Linked DNA regions of Canis lupus familiaris. The protein of the gene in region 1 purifies or fractionates together with the protein of each later gene. This does not show direct contact. Links are inferred from orthologs where the notes say so. Each region holds a gene or a part of one and is shown on either strand. Other genes may lie near its edges.

Region 1 (4,135 bases):
CATGTCAGTCACAGAAAAACAAATACCATTTGATTTCACTCATTTGTGGAATTTAGGAAACCAGCTAACAAAAAAACGAGCAAAGGGAAAAAGAGACAAACCAAGAAGCTGACTCTAAACTATAGAGAACACACTGATGGTTCCCGGTGGGGGGGAGGGGTATATGGGGGATATAGGTGACGGGGGATTAAGGAAGGCAGTTGTGATGAGCACTGAGTGTTGTATGAAGTGCTGAATCACTATATTGTATACCCAAAACTAACACAACATTGTACATTAACTATAATGGAATTCAAAATAAAATTTTAAAAAGTTAGAACAAACTTCAAATTGGTTAAATTTTAAGTACCTTTGCTAGCTATGTTGTGATGTCTAGCAAAAAAGTATTATTTATTATTACTACTTTTATCAGGGTCAGAACAACTCAAAAGTGGAACAATAACACAGTTCTAACTCTCTCAAATCATTTAGAACATGCCCTGACTGAAAATTCAAATGTATAGCTAAGATAATAATAAAAAAACACTAAACTCAGGTTTACTTATGGGACTTTCTATAAACTTGACTCTATTTCCATCATCATCTGTTTTACTATTTGTAAGAAAGCTGAGTTTAAAACTACAATAGGATAAATATTTCTACATTGTTCTAAATATTCACATTGGCTCCTAGGACCTTGAATCAAGACAATTATCCATTTCACATTAAAATCTAACACTCACTATGCTTCACAATGCTCCAAATACAGGGTAGCATTTCTCTTTGAAACCTGGGTTCCAACTTGCAATGCAGAGTGGTATTTCTCCTTATTCTTACAGTTTGATTAAAACTGACAGAGCTAGTGATGCCTGGGTGGCACAGTCGATTAAGTGTTGGATTCTTGGTTTTGTCTCAGGTCGTCCATGATCTCAGGGTCATGAGATGGAGGCCTGTATCAGGCTCTGAGCTCAGCACAGAGTCTGCTTACGTTTCTTTTTCCTTCTGCCTCTACCCTTCACTCTCTCCCTCACCTTGGCTAGTGCTCTCTCTCTCTCAAATAAATAAATAAATAAATCATAACAAACAAACTCTACAGCAATTACTTTCCCAACCGAGTAACTGTACTTACGTCAATATCCTCTTGCGTAAAAGTTTCTGGATCTTCTCCCATCATGTTGGCTAAATGTCTCTTTCCTATGTTGAACTCTTCAATCTGCTTTTTAATAAAATCCACTGTGTAAGTTTCACGTCTTAAGGCTGCAACATTTTTCTTTGTTGATACACCTGTGGTGTGCCTTAGCCTTAATATCTAGCAGAAAATATAAATGAAAAGAGAAAAGATTTTAAATTAATGTAATTATTTACATTATATTTACCTTACAATGTAATTAAACTGTGATTAACTTAGATTTTAAATTAAATAATGTAATTATTTACATTTACATTACAATGTAATGTCTTGTAGGCTATTGTCTCTACATAAAACAGGGTGTTCAAACAATTGTTTTTATTATAGTACTCAGTTGGCAAGAGTCTGGAAACAGGTAAAAGGCCTGTTAAGAAAGCTGTTAGGAAAAAAAAAAAAGAAAAAAAGAAAGCTGTTAGAAATCTTCCTCCACTCAAGGGACACCTGGGTGCCTCAGCGGTTGAGTCAGCCTTCGGCTCAGGGCGTGATCTGGGAGTACCAGGATCAAGTCCCACATCGGGCTCCTTGTGTGGAGCCTGCTTCTCCCTCTGCTTGTGTGTCTGCCTCTCTTTCTTCCTGTTGATCATAGAAAAGAAAAAGAAAAGAAAAAGAAAAAGAAAAAGAAAAAGAAAAAGAAAAAGAAAAGAAAAAGAAAAGAAAAAGAAAAAGAAAAAGAAAAAGAAAAAGAAAAAGAAAAAGAAAAAGAAAAGAAAAGAAAAGAAAGAAAAGAAAAAGAAAAGAAAAAGAAAAGAAAAGAAAAGAAAAGAAAAGAAAAAGAAAAGAAAGAAAAGAAAAAGAAAGAAAAGAAAAAGAAAAAGAAAGAAAAAGAAAAAGAAAGAAAAGAAAAAGAAAAAAAAAGAAAAGAAAAAGAAAGAAAAAGAAAAAGAAAAAGAAAGAAAAGAAAAAGAAAAAGAAAAAGAAATCGTCCTCCACTCAAAAGCTAGCTTTTAAAAGCCTCTACTTACACAGTAGTTTAAACTACTAGCATTTCACACAGTTAAACCCAAAATACCTAGAAGTGATATGAAAACATCCTTGTCTAATGCAAATATCCACATTTCATACTGATTGGTCAATGTCAACTACTTGTGATATTTGACACACAGGTAATGAAGAGATGACACTCCCTTTGAAAAGAAGTAAATGCCCTTGCAGACAGACAGCAAGCAGAGGACAAAGGAGAAAAGAGGCATGTACTGCAGAATAGCACACTTAGGCTATAGGTAGTCATCTTGCTTTAGGGTACAAATACAGCTCATCTTTCAAGGCTTTAAAATAACAGTTTAGCTTAGCTTGAGACTATTTTAAGCTGATGCAGTGAAGAAACTGCTTCAGTAAGCACTGACAAGCTTTATCATTAATTTGGTTCAATACACTAACTTACAGAAATAAGGGCTTTCCCATCCTTCTAAATTATCAGTAATGGTATCACTTGCCGCTGTTGAACCTTCTATGCTATAGCACTAGGAATTTCCCCCCAAGGCATAAATAGTTCACCTGCAATAAAAGGTGCTAAGGAACCAGAAAAATGTTTTCAAATGACTATTTAGCCACATTCAGTAGATGGATATAACTAGAATAGATATTCTTGGTCCTGGTTTTTCTCAAAATCTTAATCTGTGGTTCTCGACCATTATCCCAGCCTCAACAATGTTAAGCACTCTTAAGCAATTCAGACCTTAACTATAATTTTTAGTAACTCCCTCACTTACCTCTTCATCAACAAACAAACCTCTCTCGCACATACCACCACCACCATCATCTCTCACTCATCCATTCCCTAACCCTTTGAGAATCAGAGATTCAAATAACTATAATAATTTGTCACTGTAGTTACAATAAAAAGTAAAAGAAAAAATACAGGACAAATATTACAAATATTACAATGCTCTATTAATAGTAAAAATTATGTTCTTAAACTCTCACAAATCAAAATAGTGATAAAATTATTTCTTGCAACTCCTTAATGAGTAAAATAAGGCAATTTAAAATCCCATGAAACTTTATAGTTTATTTTTCCTTGGGGAGCACAAAGGAGTTTCTTCTCTCTTCATATTATTAATCAAGAATCTTAAGATGTTTTTATAAAGATACAGTGTCACTATCAATGAGTAAAAACATGACCCAAACTTGCTTACGTATAGCCTCTTTGTACACTCCTAATCCTGCTCCCTCTCCCCACAGTTAGTGCCAACAGCATCAAATCCTTGTCTCAGGAGTTTTTCCATCTTGTTTTTACTTTTCCCAGGGTTCTGCTTCTGTGTGTGTGTTTCAATGATTTCATGTTTTCTTTGAACACTGGAAGATGTTGCTTCCTGTATTCAAAATGAAGAGAAAATACTGATCTGGATTTGGAGAAAGTAGCTGTCACGCAATAGAGGTGATTTTCCCCAATGTTCCACTGCCAAAAGGATGATTACACTGCTGGTTTTCTAAGTCACGTGACAAAATGTTTTTGTCCATAACCAAAACGATTTGTAATACAGGTGACCCCACTACACTTGCCACCAACCACCAATCACAGCCCTCAGGAGAAATGAGTCTCCCAGTGAATATGAGATTTCCATTCACTGAAGTAATGAGTTCTAAAGGAACAGTAAGATAGGGAGGAAAGTGATGAGTTCAATTTGGGGCATGACAAGTTTGAGATGCTTGATGGGCATCTCCAGAGAGATAGGTGTCCTGGAGGCAGATGGCTCTGTGGGTATGTACACAGGAGAGATCTGAGCTAGAGATGCCGTCTGTTAATAATCAGCAAGGGACATGACATGACACCATCAAAGTAGGGGGAATGGCAGGCATTAGTGTTAGGATAAGAAACATCTATTTTACTATGCAAAGAAACAACATAGTTTGTGAGGGAAAAAGACGGAAAGGTAAGATTACTTATGTGTTATGGCCATTATTTTTATGAAACAGGACATGAGATGGGTCTGCAGAGTAAGAGGTGACAGGTTTGATGAACTGAAT
Region 2 (4,801 bases), on another chromosome or scaffold:
CACTTATAGACTCAAAGAAGCATCATCATAACTACATTTAAACTTTGATTCATGAAGGGACTAATTATCCAGTTTGTGAACCTGTAAGCCCCTGTAGCTCTCTTCCCATTCTTTGCAAAGAATTTGAAACTCCAGTTTGTGAGTTGTTTATAAGCTCCAAGGACATCGTAACCAAAGGCCAAATGAGTTTTTGGCACTATTTGGAAGTTCCTATTTTGGGTGCCTTCCCCCTCCACTGACTTTCACCGAGAATTAGCAGTACTGTACATACTCCATTAGTTAATTTCAACTGTCATTCCACAGATGTATTTCATCTTTATGACGACTGAGTGGTAAAACACATGGTTCTTGGAAGCTATGGAGAAGAAACTTGAAAAAATAAAATGCATTCAACGGTTAAATCATACTGGCCTCTGCTAGTATTGCTCCAGTTTCAAGTTAACATTCGGGGCAGCACTACTCCAGCTCCAGCACCACACAGTGGGTAGGACTGAGCTCTCTGATAGTGGGACGTTGTCTAGTCACTGTGCAGGCTTTCTTGGGGGTGTCGCATGCGCCCCTCTATCACGTATCTAAGTGCTGGCCCCCTGTGCGCAACCTCAAGAACCTAACATGCCTTTTATTTGGGAAAAGGGAAAAATCAAACTTCTAAAACACACCCAAATACACAACAGATTTCGGGAGCCGATTGTCTCTTTTTTCTTTCTTAGAAAATCCCGGCCCTTTGACTCGTCCTGAGCTCTTACTGGCTTCAGCACGACTTATGGGGGGTGTTCCTGCGGGGGGGGGGGGGGGGAGAGGCGGCGGAGGGCACGATCCGGGGGCGTGAGCTCGCGGGGGGCCGTCTGGGCGGGCGGACGTGCCCCTCCGAGGCTCGCCCCGCTCTCCCGCCCCGGGGCGGCCGGACCAGCCCTGCCATCCGGGCTGGGGAAGAGACAAAAGGGATGCTCTGTCCTCGCCCTTCCCGAGCCTAAAATCCAGGGCGCAGGGCAGGGCCTGGGAACATTCCACCAAATGCGAGACGGAAGGCACCCCCCGCGGGCAGGGCCTGCCCGTCCGTGCCGTACACATCAACACGGAAATAAGATTTCGAGGCGTTTTAAGCAGCGGGCTGGCGAGCGAGAGAAAGAGGCAGGCCCATCCAAGATGGAAGCAAGGCCGAGGGCTCGGGCGGAAGCCGCCGGGCCGGGGCCGGGGCCGGGGCCGGGGCCGCCGGGCTCTGGGTGCAGCAGCCCCGCGCCCGGGGGCCGAGAGCGAGGCGAGGGCCGCCAGCACCCAGCTCGGGAGGCCGCCCGGCTGCGGCGGATCGCTGTAACCGAAAGGCGGCCCCCCTCCTCCCCCAGCTCGGCCCCGCGGGAAGCGCACTGCGCGGCCGGCGCCGCGCTCTCGGCGGGTTGGGCGTGGGGGCGGGGAGGGCAGGGCGGGCGGGCGGGCGGGGGCGGGGGCGGGGCGCGGGGGCGGGGCCCCGCGGCGCGGGCGCGCTCCCCCCCGCAGCGGAGCTCCCGTCAGCGCAGGGGGCGGGGCGCCTATATTACGTGCGCGGCGCCGCCCCTGCGAGAGGACGTTGCGTGCTCGCTCGCGCCAGGCGAGTCTCCGCGTCTCCCTCGCGAACTCGGTGAAAGGAATTGGCGCCGTTCGACACCAGGCGGGTCCGCTCTGCAGCACGAACCCACCTCTAGCCGCAGCCGCAGCCGCCGCCCGGGCCGAGGAGCAGCCGCAGCAGCCGCCACCAGTGGCCGAGGGAGCGGAGCCGAGTTTGAGCCAGCGCCTAGCGGTGAATCGGGGCCCTCACCATGAGTTCCTCGCCTGTTAATGTAAAAAAGCTGAAGGTCTCGGAGCTGAAAGAGGAGCTCAAGAAGCGGCGCCTTTCCGACAAGGGCCTCAAGGCCGAGCTCATGGAGCGCCTCCAGGCCGCGCTGGACGACGAGGAGGCCGGGGGCCGCCCCGCCATGGAGCCCGGGAACGGCAGCCTAGACCTGGGCGGGGATTCCGCCGGGCGCTCGGGAGCAGGCCTCGAGCAGGAGGCCGCGGCCGGCGGCGACGAGGAGGAGGAGGAGGAGGAAGAGGAGGAGGAAGGGATCGCCGCCCTGGATGGCGACCAGATGGAGCTAGGAGAGGAGAACGGGGCCGCGGGGGCGGCCGACGCGGGCCCGATGGAGGAGGAGGAGGCCGCCTCGGAGGACGAGAACGGCGACGATCAGGGCTTCCAGGAAGGGGAGGATGAGCTCGGCGACGAGGAGGAAGGCGCGGGCGACGAGAACGGGCACGGGGAGCAGCAGCCTCAACCGCCGGCGACGCCGCAACAGCAGCCGCCACAGCAGCGCGGGGCCGCCAAGGAGGCCGCGGGGAAGAGCAGCGGCCCCACCTCGCTGTTCGCGGTGACGGTGGCGCCGCCCGGGGCGAGGCAGGGCCAGCAGCAGGCGGGAGGTAAGAAGAAGGCGGAAGGCGGCGGAGGCGGCGGTCGCCCCGGGGCTCCGGCGGCGGGTGAGTGCTGCGTTGTACGTTGCGCGCGGCGGGAGGCCCGCGCGGGGTGGGGACCGTGCCCCAGGCCTGCCGGAGCCCCGCGGGGGGGAGGGGGCGGGGGCCGCCGCGGGGGAGGCGGGGGGGAGGGGGCGCGGGGAATCCCGCCCGGCCGCGAGGCCTCGGCGGCCTCGGGCTCGGCGTGTGCGACGGCGGCGGCGCCTCCATTATGTGGCTGGAGGGCCGGGGGGTGGGGGTGGTAGCTGCAGCTGCCGCTGGAGGGGGAGGAGCCGCGGGCGGCGGGCGGGAGCCCGGTCGGCCCGCGGTGGCGCCGCTGCGCTGCGTGCGCGCGGTGCGGGCACATGTCTCGGGGGGGGGAGGGGAGAAGAGAGGCCCGAGGGCCCGGGGCGGGCGCGCTTTGGCGGCGCTGGGCCGCGGTATTGTGCAAGGAGCGCAGGGGCTCGGCGTGACGTCACTTCCGGCGGGAGGGGCCGGGCGGGGAGAGCGGGGCGGAAGATCAGTACAATGCGGCCGCGGGGAACGCGGGCCCGGGTGGGGGAGGGGAGGAGGGGAGGGGCGGGCGCGCGGGCCGGCGCGGCCCCTCCCCCCTTCCTGAACTCTCTCCGGGATCCACGTGGGCTCGGGGCCGGGGCCGCCCTGGGCTCCGGGAGCTTTCTCGAATCTTCGAAGAGGCTGGCAAAATTAGGAATGTCTTTAGACTGCGTCACTAGCTCCTGGCCGGTTCCAAGCTGATTGTTCTTTGAATTCGCGTTGGATTCGTCGGTTGAAATCGCTTGCAGAAAAGAACGGGGGAGTTAGGAGTATTTGCGTTCCCCAAACAGGAGGGGGGATTTTTTTTTCTTTTTCCCCGGTTGCGTCGCGGCTTGGCCCCTTATGTTAGGGGTGTTGTGTGTTATAGGAGACGGCAAAACAGAGCAGAAGGGCGGAGATAAAAAGAGAGGGGTGAAAAGACCTCGAGAAGATCATGGCCGTGGATATTTTGAGTACATTGAAGAGAACAAGTATAGCAGGTAGAGGATGCCGATCTAGTTTTACCCGTCCCCGTTCTTTCTGGGGTAGGAAAAGCTGAATCAGGAGACAATTCTGTCTTTCAGAGCCAAATCTCCTCAGCCACCTGTTGAAGAAGAAGATGAGCACTTCGATGACACAGTGGTTTGTCTTGATACTTGTAAGTGAAGCTGTTTCTTCCCTTTTCTCCCCCGGTTACTAAATGTGGCGATTTTGGTGCCAAAATGTTAGAGAACTTAAACGCAGTGTGCTGAATTTAAATGCAGAATACTTAGCGTAAACCGTTTACCTTTTTTAAAGGAGGGAGACGAAAGGTTTTATTCAGATTCTGGTAGCTAAATGTCTAATACAGCATCAATTGTGTCGTATTGATAATTTTATAGGCTCCAGCAATTTGGTGTTATTTTTTATATGATTAGAAAGTTCTCATTTATAGGAATGTAAAATTAATGGCAATTTTTGGTTTAGTTAGCTAATGGAAACTTGTAAGACAACCTGTAACTTGTCCTTTTAGGCTCCTACGATAAAGTAATTTAATTTTTTTGGTAGCATTTTATTAAGTGAGCTATTTGGGCTAGTTAAATACGTATTAATGATTTTTTCCCATTAGCACACAAGTATATTCCCTATTCTAAAAGATTGTAATATTACTTTTTCAATAACTGCTCTTTTGTTCTCAATTCCAGTTCAGTAGCTGCTGCTTTAACATAAGTTGATTTCTTCCAAAGACCTGGGGCAGCAGCAGTGGGCTATCACTGGGCTACTAGCTTTCTTCAGCAGCGAATGGTATCAATGGCAGCGCTGTAAATACTGCTACTTTACCCAGTTGGGTTGCAATTGAGTATGAGGAAGTATTGCAAACCTCTAAATGGGCCTTGGCTGTCAGATATGTAATTTTGCATAAAAATACTTTGTTCAGTATTTGATCAGAATGCACAGCTCTTTCACTTTGATAAATAGAGCTTAGAAATAATGGCTTGCTAAGTAGGTGGTCAGGTGTGAACCTGCCCCATAGATCTAGGGAGTTAAAGTTTAGATTTCCGTGTTTTCCAATACAAATTATTTTTAGCAAGATTTGTGAGAATGTAAATGTTAACTCTTGAGTTCGTATTAAATACCCTTAACAGGTAGTTGAGCTAAGGGAATCTTTTAAAAGAAAAGAAAACTGCACGTGGAAAAATCTTTGATGTGAGAGTTTTATTTTAAATAGTTCCATTGCTTTTAAATATGACTAAGTTGGAATTGGCAAGATAGTGAAGCAGTGCTTCCAGAAGTGACGCTACCGCCCAAGTAGATGGGGTTTTAGCTGATT

What was found.
Region 2: the proteins of MRPS9 (region 1) and HNRNPU purify together in Homo sapiens (co-immunoprecipitation; 3 studies listed by BioGRID and IntAct, with this or other methods). This does not show direct contact. The link is inferred for Canis lupus familiaris from reciprocal best matches to the Homo sapiens genes MRPS9 and HNRNPU.

Annotation. Positions count from the first base shown.
Region 1 is NC_049231.1:39,408,196-39,412,330, forward strand, and holds part of MRPS9 (28S ribosomal protein S9, mitochondrial), read right to left. Parts: intron 1,289-4,135; coding exon 1,109-1,288; intron 1-1,108.
Region 2 is NC_049228.1:35,785,156-35,789,956, reverse strand, and holds the start of HNRNPU (heterogeneous nuclear ribonucleoprotein U), read left to right. Parts: upstream 1-1,554; 5' UTR 1,555-1,793; coding exon 1,794-2,484; intron 2,485-3,379; coding exon 3,380-3,491; intron 3,492-3,575; coding exon 3,576-3,649; intron 3,650-4,801. UniProt on the Homo sapiens protein: DNA- and RNA-binding protein involved in several cellular processes such as nuclear chromatin organization, telomere-length regulation, transcription, mRNA alternative splicing and stability, Xist-mediated transcriptional silencing and mitotic cell progression.